Nothobranchius furzeri: one gene and its partner. Each later gene encodes a partner of the first gene's protein in a complex. Links are inferred from orthologs where the notes say so. Each region holds a gene or a part of one and is shown on either strand. Other genes may lie near its edges.

The links.
Region 2: strn3 (region 1) and programmed cell death protein 10-B share a complex: the UniProt entries of both Homo sapiens proteins name them as parts of the core of STRIPAK complex. The link is inferred for Nothobranchius furzeri from reciprocal best matches to the Homo sapiens genes STRN3 and PDCD10.

What each region holds. Positions count from the first base shown.
Region 1 is NC_091758.1:17,976,960-17,981,277, forward strand, and holds the start of strn3 (striatin-3), read left to right. Parts: upstream 1-1,465; 5' UTR 1,466-1,818; coding exon 1,819-1,959; intron 1,960-4,318. UniProt on the Homo sapiens protein: Calmodulin-binding scaffolding protein which is the center of the striatin-interacting phosphatase and kinase (STRIPAK) complexes.
Region 2 is NC_091758.1:24,820,442-24,824,262, reverse strand, and holds part of programmed cell death protein 10-B, read left to right. Parts: intron 1-34; coding exon 35-161; intron 162-1,057; coding exon 1,058-1,136; intron 1,137-1,219; coding exon 1,220-1,302; intron 1,303-3,821. UniProt on the Homo sapiens protein: Promotes cell proliferation. Modulates apoptotic pathways. Increases mitogen-activated protein kinase activity and STK26 activity. Important for cell migration, and for normal structure and assembly of the Golgi complex.

The DNA of each region.
Region 1 (4,318 bases):
CTGCATTCTGGGGCAACGCCTGGATCTCTGGGACTTGGAGCTCCCCCCGTCTCCTGCGCATCTTTGGGGGGCAGATCTGTGGTCCCTCACACACTCTATTGGACGTTCCTATAGAGAAACCTTACATAAACAAGCGTGTGTACAAACACAGGTGCTCACATGGTGCTCTCATAAGTATGGGCTTGGGCACGTTCAACACATGTCTTAAGGCTGTCGTTGCCACTAAATGCACTATGATTTATTATCGTGTGATTGTTCAGTTAAACAATGTTGATTGTATATTTCTTCAAGTTGACGCAGTGATAGCTTGCTCTTTTTGTATTGTGTGTCCCATTTTTTAAAATTATTTTTTCCCTTTCTCTTTCTGCAGGTCTAGAAGCAAACTCTTGTTCATTATTGTTTATTTGTCCCCCCCTCTTTTCCTTTCTCTTTCACCTCTGACTCCGTGTCTGGTCGGAATTACAAAGCATTCCAAAACAATAACAATAAAGTTTTAAGTATCAGGCGTGATAAAAGCAGACACTTTGATGCTCCACCTGAGAGTAAATCTGTAAGGCTTGTCACCAGCATTCAGACTTCAATTCTCACAGCCAGACTGGACAAGAATTTTTATTAAAATAAACAAATAAATAAATAAATGCATCCATGAACATTTTAAGGCTACATAAATATCAAGACTCAAGTAAACATACAGCTTAAAGGTAGTAGCGGAGACACTTTAAAGTTGATAACTGAATACACTTAGAAATTAATGAATAAAAGTTATCTTTACGAGTTGTTTTTGCCTGGTGGTGGTCTCACCTCCTGACCAGGCAACACCATTTATAGTTACTTAAATAGTTATAGTTTAGAGTAGCAGGCGCTACTTGTAACATTAGTTATATAAATAAACATTTTCCCATCAAAACAGACTTTGATGAAAAGATGTGATGTTATGTCGATTTGTGTTCCCCCCTCGAGATCTGTTTCTTTTGCACCCGGCTGCAAATTACGATCCAATCACAAAAAATAATCCTCACCCTAACCAGCTGGCACCAAAAATTTCTGTTTAGCATAAATATAATTTTAGAAAATATTATGTGTAGCGCAATTTTTATGTTTGTTTCAGGGTTATGGTTAGGGTAAGAGTTGGGGTAAGGGTTAGAAACACACATTTTTTGCGAGTGGATGGTTCAAACTCGCAGCTGGGTGCAAAAGAAACCGAATCTCGAGGGGGGAACACATATCGACGTAACACCGCCTTATCACACGTGCAGTTTGTACGATTACGAGACTGTTCCTACTCGGAATTTGTAATGTCCAAGTTCAGTGATGATAAACGAACCGCATTTTATAGCGAGGCGAAGACTCCATATAAGATAACTTTAGGACAAAGAGGTTCGGAAGGAAAGACTAATTTATTGGTAATACACCCTCCGGTCCAGTTGGTGGCAGTAATGCACGAAAACGTTTACTAATCATCATTGTACAAGAAGAAAATGTCCCATCATGCAGCGCGGCTGGATTCTCTCACAGTGACAGTCAGATCCAGACTGAGCGGCGATGGCAGTCGGTTAAATTATCTCGTTCACGCCACGGTAATAACCAGCCGCTCTCCCTGAGACGCTCCTGGTCAGCAGCCGCCCACGTCGGCGGCAGGGGTCCCGCCGAAATAGGCACGAGGCCGGCAGAGAGACGGTGGACTGTCGCTAAAGCCTCCCATAAAACAACAATATCCAAACGAAACGTTAAAACAAGGAGGAACATCCCGGCGGAGGAGGAGCGGCTCCGCGGCCGCAGCAGGGCAGCAGCGGTGCAAAAGCACCGATCGAAGCCGTCATGGCGTCGCAGAATGCCGATGACTTGCCCCGGCCGCAGCAGCAGTACACCATTCCTGGAATCCTACACTACATTCAGCACGAGTGGGCCCGGTTCGAAATGGAACGGGCTCATTGGGAAGTGGAGAGGGCCGAACTCCAGGTTAGCCACATAGCACGGCTACCCAAACACCTAGCGTTAGTTAAAACCACAGTAGGTCTAAACAGCCCACTGACAGAACCGAACCGAGCCTTCTAGAAGAGGATCGGTTTGAAATAAACAGATTGTTGGTGTTCTGGTGTGTGAATGATTGATGTTAATGGACTTAGCCACTAACCACACTTAGCCTCTAGACAGCAGCTAGCTGCACTGTGATCTGTGGGCGGTTCTGGGTCGGAAACTGGCTACTGGTTCCTGGTTTAGATGGCCGCGAGTATATTTAATTATGTCATCTCATCTGGTCCGTCTCAGCTAGCGGAGTTAGCAGTGATGCTAAGGCCAGGACTCTTGAGTCAGAATTCAGATAACAGCTTCACCTCCGTGTGTGTGTGAGAGAGAGAGGGAGACCCCACATCCTCTAAACTAATAAAGTTCTCAAACATCTGCAGCCAAGGCTCAATACAAGCTGACTGTTGGTGCTGTGCCTTTGGAGTGTAAAAATCCGCAACATTCATAAATGTCAGAAAGGTGATGAAAAAGTCAGAAAATGACACAAATCCTTCCGTCCTTTAGGTTCTCGTGGCTCAGGTGTCTGAAATATGCCAGTTGTGTTGTTCTGGTGCAGGTGCTCATCTACAGGAGGTCTGGTTCTCACATAAGAGCATAAGCGTAAGGGTAGCAGCCTAAGCGGATAGGCCCAGACTTCCCTCTCCCCAGCCACTTGGGCCAGCATCTCCAAGGGAATCCTAAAGAGTTCCCTGGCCAGCTGAGAGACATAGTTTCTCCAGCATGTCCTGGGTCTTCCTTTAGGTCTCCCGGTTGAACACGCCTGGAAAACCTCACCAGGGAGGCATCCTAAGTAGATACCAGAGCCACTCTCGATGTGGAGGAGCAGCGGGTCTACTCCGAGCCCCTCCTGGATGACCAAGCTTCTCACCTTATCTCTAAGGGAGAGAGCCCAGCCACCCTTGCAGAGAAAACTCATTTTGGCCACTTGTACCTGCAATCTCGTTCTTTAGGGTTGTAACGTAGATCCACCGATAAATCGAGCGCCTTCTGGGTCAGCTCTCCCACCATAACAGCTGGTACAATGCCCGCATCACTGCAGACGCAGCACCAGTCCACCTATCTCCCGCTCCATCTTTCCCTCACCCGTGAACAAGACCTAGACCCAGAGTTACTTAAACTTCTCCACTTGAGGCAGGACCTCATCCCTGACTCGGAGAAGGCAATCTACCCTTTTCCTGACTTGACCATGGTCTCGTATTTAGAAGAGCTGATTCTCATCCCGGCTGCTTCACATACGATCCGCTTCAGGGAGAGCTGGAGATCACGTTCTGATGAAGCCAACGGGACCACATCATCTGCAAAAAGCAGATACCTGATCCTCACCCCACTAAAACAGGTCCCCTCAACACCTTGGCTGTGCCTAGAAATCCTGTCCATAAAAGTTATAAACCGAATCGGTGACAAAGGGCAGCCACGGCAGAGTCCAACTCTCACCGGAAACAAGCCCAACTTACTGCCAGTGATGCAGACCGAGCTCTGGCACCGGTCTGAGTTATTAAGTAGAAATTAATTAGCATCAGGAAACACGCTGAGGTCAGCAGGTCAGACCAGGAGAACATTTTGGCCTTCTGTCAGTCTGTCTGTTGCTTCACCGTAGTTTACACTAGGCTCTGCTTTGTCACCAGTTTGTTGCACTTCACTGGTTCACATGATGTTTGTCATGTTGGCATTAGTTGGGGTGAAACTGGAGAGTGTATTTCAGGGTTTTGTGATTCCTAATATTTGAGGGTAGTGGTGATGAAAAACGAGAATTGCTGGTGTTTTAAATGAACGTTTGTTCCAGCCACACTTCACGTTCTTAGTCGATTGATGTTCTTCATGGTGTAGTAACTTCCTACAGCTGCTAACACACTGGGATTATTCGGAATAATGACATCTTAATATTTTTTCTTGTCTGTTTATTAACCGGGCGTATAAAGGGACTGGCATTCAAAAAAGAGGTCAGTCAGAGCTGGTTTGGTTTTGTCAATGTTTAATTTTAGTGGTTTACCACCCCTTACAAAACACGCACACACACCAGGCCAGGGATATTCAGTTCCAGGCCTGGAGGGCCAGTATCCAGCACGTTTTAATTTTAACTGTTTCAACACACCTGATTTCAATCAGCAGGAAATAACAGGTCTGAGCTGCTGCCCTGGTGATTCAATCACTGAATCAAGTGTTGGAGCAGAGAAACCACTAAAACGTGCTGGATACCGACCCCCAGGACTGTCTAGGCCAACAGACATTTTAAAGAACGTAATGTTGAGTTGAAGCAAAAGGCTGAAGGCTACAAGATGGGAGGCTTTAGCAT
Region 2 (3,821 bases), about 6.8 Mb from region 1:
TGATAAATGTATCTGTGGGAATGTTCTCCTGCAGAGTTCATGATCGACAGGCCTGAGCAGGAGTTCCAGGACGTAAATGAGAAGGCCAGAGCACTGAAACACATCCTTAGCAAAATCCCAGATGAGATCAATGACAGAGTACGCTTTCTACAAACTATCAAGTGAGTGTCTGCAACTTAACACACGGGTTTTTAAACCATCTAGAGCAGGGGTGTCAAACTCATTTTAGCTCAGGGGCCACATTGAGGGAAATCTAGTCCCAAGTGGGCCGGACCGGTAAATTAAAAAATACTTCAGATTGTTTTCTTTGTTTTAATACAGTCAATATAAAACAAGGCTGGAGCCTGAGGACAGTGTAGTACAAGTACAACACCTGAAGTGTACTTGAAAATTTGAAAAAAATTTAAAAATCAACAAATAAAAACATTCCTTAGTGATCCAAAGAGCTTACAGATCACATGGCAAGATCAGTTTCATGCAGCACTTAAAGTATATTTGACTCATTTTACTTTACATCTTTTAGCTTTCACCAGCACATCAATATCAGAAGTCACATCCCGAGTGGCAGCCAACTTCAGGATGTGACTCAAGTTCTTGTGTGGGCCTTGAGCACAGCTTTGTTTTATTTATACTCATTACAGAGAAAACTTGCTCACAAAGATAAGTTTATTTTAACTCTACATTGTAAAGTATGAAAATAAAGTTTACACATCCGGCCCGCGGGCCGCATATTTGACACCCCTGATCTAGAGCAAGAGTATTCAATGCCGGGCATAGAGGCTCCATAGGTGCTTCGTCCACTAAATCAAGTATGTTTGAGCAGAGAAACCACAAAAACATGCTGGATACCGGCCTTCCAGGCCCAGAATTGAATACCCTGATCTAGAGACAAGTTACCTTAAATATCTTGTGGATCAGAGAAATCAGTTCTGAGGTTCTTCCCAAGTCGATATCAGAACACTTTTAATGATTGTTATGTAAACATAGAGCCTCGTGTTTCATTCTGAGTAGTTGGTTTGAAGTTCTGTTTCTTATCCAAGTTGCATTCTGTTCACAGAGACATAGCAAGCGCCATAAAAGACCTCCTGGACTCGGTCAATGCTGCCATTAAGAGACACCAGTACCAGACTCGCAGAGTGAGTAGTGGAGCATGTCTGTTAATGTTTAAAATCTTATCTTTGCTTCTGCTAATCATTCCTTACTTTTAATGCTCATAAAGCCCCTGGAGCACCAGAAAAAGGAGTTTGTGAAGTACTCGAAAAGCTTCAGTGACACCCTCAAAACATACTTCAAAGACGGAAAGTAAGTGTGACCCCTGATGGTATGGAAGAGAACAGGAGAAGATTTGTGTTTATTGTGTAAAACACACATTACCTGGCTTTAGACCCTCGAGTCAGTCCAGTTTATGCTGCTAAGTTGAGCTTTCTTGTTCAGAAAAGGAAATCTAGTGAATTAGCTAATTAATGTCTGATGACTGATTTTATTTTTAGTGAACTTTTAGTGAACTTCCCCCAAAACACACACCAGAGCAAAAAATAAAAAGAATTGCATCAGCACAGCTAAAGTTATTCAAAAACACAACTGCCTGCACAGAAAAATGCACGAGGGACCTCTAAGGGTCAAATTTACAGTCAGGTCCATAAAAATTGGGACATCAACACAGTGCTAACTTTTTTTGGCTCTATACACCACCACAATGGATATCAAATGAATCGTCAAGATGTGATTTAACTGCAGACTGTCAGCTTTTATTTGAGGGTATTTACATCCAAATCAGGTGAACGGTGTAGGGATTACAACATTTTGCATATGTGCCTCCTACTTGTTCAGGGACCAAAAGTAATGGGACAATTGGCTTCTCAGCTGTTCCATGGCCAGGTGTGTGTTATTCCCTCATTCTCCCAATTACAATGAGCAGATAAAAGGTCCAGAGTTCATTTCAAGTGTGCTATTTGCATTTGGAATCTGTTGCTGTCAACTGTCAAGATGAGATCCAAAGAGCTGTCACTATCAGAGAAGCAAGCCATCATTAGGCTGAAAAAACAAAAGAAACCTATCAGAGAGATAGCAAAAACATTAGGCGTGGTCAAAACAACAGTTTGGAACATTCTCAAAAAGAAGGAACGCACCGGTGAGCTCAGCAACACCAAAAGACCCGGAAGACCAGGGAAAACAACTGTGGTGGATGACCAAAGAATCCTTTCCCTGGTGAAGAAAACACCCTTCACAACAGTTGGCCAGATCACGAACACTCTCCAGGAGGTAGGTGTATCTGTGTCAAAGTCAACAATCAAGAGAAGACTCCACCAGTGTGAGGGTTCACCACAAGATCTAAACCATTGGTGAGCCCCAAAAACAGGAAGGCCAGATTAGAGTTTGCCAAACAACATGTAATAAAGCCTTCACAGTTCTGGAACAACATCCTATGGACAGATGAGACCAAGATCCACTTGTACCAGAGTGATGGGAAGAGAAGAGTATGGAGACAGAAAGGAACTGCTCATGATCCTAAGCATACCACCTCATCAGTGAAGCATGGTGCTGGAAGTGTCATGGCGTGGGTATGTACTGTATGGCTGCCAGTGGAACTGGTTCTCTTGTATTTATTGATGATGTGACTGCTGACAAAAGCAGCACGATGAATTCTGAAGTGTTTCGGGCAATATTATCTGCTCATGTTCAGCCAAATGCCTCAGAACTCATTGGATGGCGCTTCACAGTGCAGATGGACAATGACCCAAAGCATACTGCAAAATCAACCAAAGAGTTTTTGAAGGGAAAGAAGTGGACTGTTTTGCAATGGCCGAGTCAGTCACCGGACCTGAATCCGATTGGGCATTCATTGCACTTGCTGAAGACAAAACTGAAGGGAAAAGGCCCCAGGAACAAGCAGGAACTGAAGACTGTTGCAGTAGAGGCCTGGCAGAGCATCACCAGGGATGAAACCCAACGTCTGGTGATGTCTATGTCTTCCAGACTTCAGGCTGTAACCAGTGTTGGGCAAGTTACTTCAAAACGGTAATGCATTATTTACTACTTGTTACCCTCATTTTAAAGTAATTCATTACATTACAGTATTACTGATTTGAAAATGTAAGGCATTACACTACTTTTGCATTACTTTAAGCTACTTTCAGCAAAACAACTTCAGTATGAATCTGGTAATCTGACGCTCAGTGAGCTCATGACATATATGTGGAAAGTGATGTGGTGTCTGAGCTAGGATTGCTGTTAAAAACAGTCAGATATAATAACAGTGCTTTAAAATGATTGTTTATTAATTAAAAGCAACAACAATCTGTACTCTCAGCATGCTGCCATCTTATAGTAACTGAGCAGGGAGTGAGGTTCAAAATTCAATTCAATTCAAAAATACTTTATTAATCCCAGAGGGAAATTGATTGCTGTAGTAGCTCAGGATAATAATAATAATCAAGTCGTCAAAGAGTTATTGTATATTACAATGGCTGTTGGCAGGAAGGATCTCCAGTAGCGGTCAGTGTTGCATAGGGATGGGTACCTTTGACATTTGAATCGATCCGGTACTAATTACCGGTACCTAGGAATCGATACCGGTACTTAACGGTACCAATTTTCGATACTTTTGAGTGTTTATTATTTTAATTCTCTTTTATAATTAAATATATATTTTTCTCAATATATAACAATATTTGATAAATATCACGATAACATACAACTGTTTGTATTTTAACATTGTCCTTGTAGTTTTATAAGCCCATAATTAAACTGAAGCAAACATCTTTACTGTGAACTAAATTTACTGTGTATCTTCATTCCTTTTGCCATCTTTTTTCATTTGA